Nothobranchius furzeri: one gene and its partner. The protein of the gene in region 2 purifies or fractionates together with the protein of the main gene of each other region. This does not show direct contact. Links are inferred from orthologs where the notes say so. Each region holds a gene or a part of one and is shown on either strand. Other genes may lie near its edges.

What was found.
Region 1: the proteins of cdk7 (region 2) and gtf2h5 purify together in Homo sapiens (affinity purification with mass spectrometry; 7 studies listed by BioGRID and IntAct, with this or other methods). This does not show direct contact. The link is inferred for Nothobranchius furzeri from reciprocal best matches to the Homo sapiens genes CDK7 and GTF2H5.

Annotation. Positions count from the first base shown.
Region 1 is NC_091742.1:2,693,605-2,696,538, forward strand, and holds gtf2h5 (general transcription factor IIH subunit 5), read right to left. Parts: upstream 1,402-2,934; 5' UTR 1,262-1,401; intron 1,071-1,261; 5' UTR 1,046-1,070; coding exon 1,011-1,045; intron 913-1,010; coding exon 732-912; 3' UTR 597-731; downstream 1-596. Other genes in the region: protein SERAC1, read right to left, coding at 2,454-2,590, 2,705-2,848, 2,933-2,934. UniProt on the Homo sapiens protein: Component of the general transcription and DNA repair factor IIH (TFIIH) core complex, which is involved in general and transcription-coupled nucleotide excision repair (NER) of damaged DNA and, when complexed to CAK, in RNA transcription by RNA polymerase II.
Region 2 is NC_091757.1:44,652,793-44,657,117, forward strand, and holds the start of cdk7 (cyclin-dependent kinase 7), read right to left. Parts: upstream 2,896-4,325; 5' UTR 2,845-2,895; coding exon 2,779-2,844; intron 2,557-2,778; coding exon 2,497-2,556; intron 2,418-2,496; coding exon 2,384-2,417; intron 2,301-2,383; coding exon 2,233-2,300; intron 2,027-2,232; coding exon 1,958-2,026; intron 518-1,957; coding exon 407-517; intron 310-406; coding exon 191-309; intron 60-190; coding exon 1-59. UniProt on the Homo sapiens protein: Serine/threonine kinase involved in cell cycle control and in RNA polymerase II-mediated RNA transcription. Cyclin-dependent kinases (CDKs) are activated by the binding to a cyclin and mediate the progression through the cell cycle.

The DNA of each region.
Region 1 (2,934 bases), on a different chromosome or scaffold from region 2:
TCTATCCTCAGACATGTTAAAAGTACATTTGCAGTTTCTGTCCACCTAACATAACATTAGGGACACTGTCTAGTGTTAGACTTTTCACAATTATAACTGTATCTCTGTCATTTCATTCATCAATAGAACAAACTGAAGGTGGCAAAACATTTTAAACAGGGAAAACTCATTATCTCAGTATTTCATTAACGTTATGAGATTTGTGAGAAATGTCAATTTCTTCTCTGGTTTCTATCTGAAAGCACTAATTGAATCCCTGATATCATAAAAACAACAATTGAATTATTTTCTCACAATAATTACTCTGTTGTAATGTACCTCTTCAAATGCCTTAGGTAACTGTGAGGTTTTGTTTATCATATTTTTCTCATTTTGCTCCTGCCATGAATGTAATTGCTAGGCTGGCATGCCATTCTAGATATGTACATATATTCCTTTAACCCAAATTTCTCCACTGTGGATAAAGGGATTTTCTATTTTTCTATCGGAACTAGATTAAATGAAAAATCTGATTTGGTTAAATTATGGTGTGAATTAACAAGTACTTTTAATAGATTATTTTTGTTCCCCATCTACAAGTGAAAAAGAACTCCACAAAAATAGAAACTTTTTATCCAATTGATCACTTCCACTTTTATCAAACCAAAACATTTACATGTCTCATTTTATTAAGCAAAAGCAAACAACAACAAATTGAGTAGTCCATGAGAGGAAAGTCAAAGATCTGAGGGTTATTTTTGCGTGATGGGGAATGAATTCTGGTCCATTAACTCCCCAACTCTCTCCTGAAGAGTCTGGACCACCTCTGCCAGGATAAAAACGTGTGTGTCGTCAAGATCCTTGATGATGAACTTCTTTCCTAAAGCCATGGTTTCATCTAGGTAGAGGAGAAACTGTTTCATAGCAGGATCACTGAAACAGAACATGGAGAGGAAAAAGACATTATAATTGTAGGAGTTTTCTACAGAAGAAAGTAATTTTACAGTTTTCTTCACTCTGAAGTTCCTTACCATTCAACAAGAACACCCTTGTGAACATTCACCATGATGACAGGTGTAGTTGATTAAAGTCTGCAAAATAAACAAAACGTGCAAAAATGTTGCGACAGTAACATAAATACTGTATGCATATACAACACATATTCATACCGGACAGTTAATGTACAGAGAAAATTCATGAGAAATAGTAAACAAGCTAAAAATAACAAGCTAACAACGTATTTTGCAACACTTTTAAGCAAAACGTTCTAATTAAAACTTACCACAACAACCACAATGTTCGGGAGAACACTAAAGTTGGTAAGAAATCGTGTAAAACTACTCGTTCAGACCCAACAGCAGCTGCTTTTTAAGCTAAGTTCCGTAGCATTGAGGTAAGATCTACGGCGAGCAACCAGGGACAATCTTCCTCTACCACTATAGCATTGAAGGATGCGCATTTTTGCCACTTCCGTTTAACATGTTCTTCCACGCTATCTGGTACATTTCACGTAATTATCTGCTTATATTATAACGATTTCACTGTGATTTTTGAAAAATTGTTATTAAAAATATTTGACGCTCCTGTGCTTTACTCCCAGCCCAATTCCACCAAGTGATCTATAATGCAAGATTTCTGAACAAACGTGTACGTGTATGTACATGCATACATACATATGTATACATGCGTACGTATGCATGTGTGTGTGAGTATTGCACATGTACATTTGTTTTTAACTATTTTGCAATGGATGCTTGTTAAATTACTTTTTGTCAGATTAAGTTAGAAAATAAACACCAAACGATTTCCATTTAACAATTCTGTTGTATTCAGTATTTTAATACATCATTTAATGAATGCATAGACAAGTCAAACTCAACAAATGTACTCATTCATTTGATTTATTCTCATTTCTAGTATATGTTGGCCCATTGTGATGCATAATTAATGTAATAAAATTAATAGAGTTGACCTAATATATTAAATCAGGGCCATTTTAAAAAAGGCTTGGCAAATAATCCATTTGGCACAAAAAACAACACGTTTCAGTAGAATGAATGAATACAAAAATAACATTTCAACCATTACTCTGATCAAAACTACATAGAAGCAGTTTTTAAAAATGCATCTTTAAGTAAATATATATTTGTTGTGGCTGCAAGGTCTAAAATGGAAAGATGGTGGTACTTCTCATAATATGAGTTTACTCGAAACATGACTTTGACCGGTAAAAATGAAAACATAAGGGAGGAAAATGTAAAAAGATAACAAATCAGAGGTTCGGGTTTATCTATCACAGTTAGTAAGTGTGTGAAATAAATGTGTCTGCATTATGATTGTTAACATCTCACATTATGGTTGTAAACGTGTACAAAAAGAGGTTTGGGGTTTTGAGTTTGTTGGTGGAAGGACTCAGTGTTCCTCAAACTTCAAGTAAACAATTTAATGTCACTACTGATGTGCTTGTATGTCTTTTATTGGCTTGTGTATCTCTGGAGTGCTTCCTGGATGAACTGGAGGCTGCGTCTGTAGAGAAACGAGTCCTTCTTCTCTGGTTTGCAGATGTTCAGGTGATCCACATCCACCTGAATGAGCTCTCCGATGCCCAGATCTGGAACAAAACGAGAGATTACTCAAAAAGAGAAGGTAAGAAACTGGATGACAGATTTTTATTATTTTATCAAAAGTATAGCTCATTGACTTTTCCCCACTGTATCTTACATACCTGCTGACTGAGTTGGGACCACAAATATCTTAATCATAGGACCAATATTTGTGGGCAACGTCTCTGCAAAGCTCAGCACTTTGATTTCATTTTCTTTGGCAATTTTCAGAAAACCCTCATTCAGGTTACGCAGAGCTGGGGAGTCTTTGAACACACAGACATCGACTCATTGCAGACAACAAACTATTTAATTCAAGCCATTTTAGAAGGAATGATCACAGCCCTCACCT
Region 2 (4,325 bases):
TGTCAACACCCACTCCATACATCTTGGCACCAAACAGGAGTTCAGGGGAGCGGTACCACCTAAAAAAACGATGACAGAAAACATACAGAGTTAAATGTTTGATCTTTAGTGTAGAGGTGAGAAATTCTATTTTGTAAAATTAGATTAAAGCCAACAAAACGATCGTTGTCATTACTGCAGCGGCTCTGACCTGGTAACAACTTGATGAGTGTAGATTCTGTTGGGGCTTCCAAAAGCTTTGGCCAATCCAAAATCAGCCAACTTCAACACTCCGTTACTGTCTAGCAGCAGATTGTTGGGCTTCAAATCCTGAACGTATAAAGGAAAAAAGAAGCAATAATTCTAAATAATAAATCACCTCTGTGCATTTGCAGAATACGACAGAGTGGTGTTTAGGTGCTCGTACCCTATGTAGGACCCAATGTTGGTGCATGTACTCTAATCCTTGTAATGTCATGAGGATGTAGGCTTTAATATTGGCTGGAGTCAAGACTAGGCTTGTGTCTTTGATGATAACCTGAAAAAATAAAACGCACACAAAAAAATCTAAGCAAAACAACAAAAAATATGCTTATCTGACCCACACAAGGAAGCTTTAGAGAACTGAGATCAGACCAAACAGCTTCACTTTAACTACTCGACAAATCCCCAAAATGTCCGTAAAACTAAACATCTGTAGCTGATAGTTTAAACATTAACTGACTGAACCTAAAAATGTTTACAACATTATTGAAAAAGAATAGCCTCATAATTCACACATGCCTCCCCTAACTGCTGCCTGCCAGCTGCTAATGGCATAAATGTATTTGAGCCAAGAAGAGAGTGATATTGATTATTTGGAAGCACTTTTGTCTTTTTATTGCATCAGTAAAGTCTAATGTGTCTGAGGTGTGCGTCCGTCTGGAGTCTTGCACGTTAAAACGGAATGAAAAAGGAGAATGGGAGCATGAAAGAATAATTTTACTTTCATTTTAGTTGCTCCTTTTGTAAAGACATTTGATCTTGCAGCACACATCCTTATGTTACACGTTTCTCCCTAAACAAAACCTTAAACATCACAAATGTTCTTTATTTAATTCCAAAATTAAAAAGTCATTGAGGGAATGATTACTAGTGGTCCACAAATGCAAAAAAAAAAAAAAAAAAAAAAAAAAGAAGAAGAACGAATTTAACCCGACACAACACATGTATATACAATTTTATAATACCATGATTATTGTCTTTTTAATCAAAATTAGACCACAATTCTGTAAAGAAGTCACTTTCATTACTTACTCATTTGTATAAAAAAGTGCAATCATAACCACCTTTTCACCAAAATCCTGGGGAATGTTTAACTGAATCAATTTTTAAAGACTTTTTTGTTCTTTAAACCCTCAACCAAAAATTAAGCCTTAAATGGGAGAGCTATTTTACACGCTGATTGCTTATGATACTTGGATATACAGAACTAAAGTTAATTTAACCCTAACCCGACTTAGTGAAGACCATTTAATAGTACTTAAATTACAGGGGAAAAAAATCTAGTGCAAATATAAAAACAAGCTGTATGAATGTTCTATTACAGTGGTTCCCAACCTTCTTTCCATGGGGACCCACTTGCCTGTATCCAAGATGAGCCAGAACCCCCAACCACAACTTCTTCCAGCATCCACACATTAAAAATGATTAATTAAAAACTTTACACAGACATACAGATATTTGATTATACATTTGGGTGTGTCATTTGGATTTTAGAAATGTAATTCTTACAAAAACTACCTTGGTATTCTCACAACCTGAGCACAGACACATTTGTGGGGACCTCCAGCAATCCTGAGCAGGCCCCCATGGGGGGTCCCAGACCCTAGGTTGGAAACCACTGTTCTATTATATTAATGCGGAACTTCATCATATTCAGAAGTAATAATATCAGAGGGATAATTGTGCATATAATCAAAAACAGGAGGCAACTCACCTCCAGGTCTGTTTCCATAAAATCAAACACCAGGCTGATGTTTGATTTATGTCCAAATGCATCCAACAGCTACAACACATAGCACAGTAAATAACCAACACTGCATTTAAAAGAAACAAATTAATAACACGAGAATACCAAGATGCCTGATCAAACACACAGTGCCTCTTAAACGTTCAGACACACATCTACCCAAATTAAATAATTAGGTTGATTTTTCCAGATGTTTTACTGGAAATGTAGAGGACATAAATGCATGAACATAGTTTGAGTACCCCAATGATATTTGGATGATGCAGCTCCTGTAGCAGTTTGATTTCCCTGAGAGCAGTCCGATTTACACCTGCAAGAAAAGAACATTTATTTTCAATAAGATACAGCACGAGTGTTTGGTATGTGTGGGGCACAGGTGTGACTATGACTTACCATCTTTAGCTTCAGTTTTGTGACCAACTTTTATCTGAAAACAAGCAGATAATCAAATTTAACCCCGAACACCACAGTGTCCGATTAAAGCAGAAACTTCACTTTTTTTGTACCTTTTTGATGGCAACTATTGTGTCTGTCAGTTTGTCTCTGGCTTTGTAGACTGTGGCAAACTGAAGAGATGAAAGAAAGGTTATTAAAGGAGAGCATACAACGCGCTGAATGCTTTTAGAGCTAGTGTGATCACACCGAAGCTGCTGGGGCTTTGTTGACATTAGCTACCAGCTAACGCTTGTTATCAAGTTACTGAAAACGTTAAACAACAAAGCAAAAATAATAAAAGTGAGCGAAACGAAGAGTAGATATCGAAAACTTTGAAATAATTCTCTGCCTACCTGACCCTCTCCGAGAAAATCCAGTTTCTCGTATCGTTTCGCTCTGATTTTTACATCAAGCGCCATGGTAGCTAGCAGTAAGCTATCTTTTGGTCTGGTTAAAGGGCCAGAAAACTTCTTCCGGGGCAAAGGTGTCAGGCTTTAAAACTGAGCAACTGCGCCATCTACTGGTCAGGCTAAAACAATTTAATGTCAAAAGATGTGCAATTTTTTGGTTGAAAGAACACGTTCAGAATGATTTAAAATATAAACAGTTATTTAATACAAACTATGTAGGAATTGTTGTGACTTGTTCAGTCCCAATTAATGTCACCTAACTAAAAATCAAAATGTATTTCACCCTTTATTTAATCTTTTATTATTTTAAAATAAAGGATGAAATACATGTTTCTGATTTAGAGGAAAGACAACACAAATCTCATGGCAATTTGCCATTTTCCATTTGTTTTTTTTCATCCACCAGTTTTGACACTGGTCTCCTGGGAGCCTGTTCTGTCAGTTAGGAAGTTTTTGTGATCCATGCACCACTGAGCACATCTCTACATCCCATCACCATTCACTGTAAGATACCATAACATCCCACAGGATTAGGCACGGCTCCTTTGACCTTACTTGTCTTCTGTCTCAAATGCCCAAATTCTCACCCGTCAACACACACACACATTCAGAACACTCACCACTGACTTTCATTTTAATGTTAAGTTTGACAAGAGGAGTGTGAAGGATCAGCATGCCTAATACACCCCTCACCCCCCTCAGATGTATGCACATTCATGGTCTGACAGCTCACAGATGTGACTGACAGTATGTGGCTGTGCAGCAGAGAAGAGAGCAGTCTAGCCACACTTCAGTCCTTGCTGCCATCACATCATCAACTTTTCAGGACACAAATGCTGGCTTTGGTGTAGAAGAACTCTTATGGGTCTTGTATGAACCATTGTTTATTGCTCTGTCAAATACTTAGAATAACTGTTAAAAATTCAGCTTATTGTTTGTATCTGACCTTGCATAATGTGCAGTTTGTGCTAAATATCTAAGAAAACGGACAAGTGGAGGTCAAAAACAGAAACAATCCTGTCTTTAAAGACTGAGTCAAATCCAGCAAAGTCTTGACTGAGATGTAGATGATCCTACTGTTGATCATTGACTGCGTGTCAGGTTGGGACCACAAGCTTTTCCAGAATCACCTTGTTGGGATTAAAATTCTGATTTAATTAACAGATCAATACATTTAACAGGAAATTAATCAAACTTTGTGTTTTTGGACAGTCTGCTGGTATCTAAGAGTCTAAAGATGAAATTTTAGGGATGTTTGATATCACTTTTTCTGCCAATATCTGATAAAACGTAAGTCAGCTTCTTAATTTCCAATAACAATTTAAACCACACCAATAAACGCAATTAAACGTGTAACAAACTCTTTCTTTTGTGTTTTTTATGAGTCGACATAACTCCGGTTCATTAAACTGGACTGAAAATAAGCAAAGAACCTGCTAAAACTCATCAAGGGATCTAAAGAAATCAAGTCTGGTTTCTTAAAAGAGCAA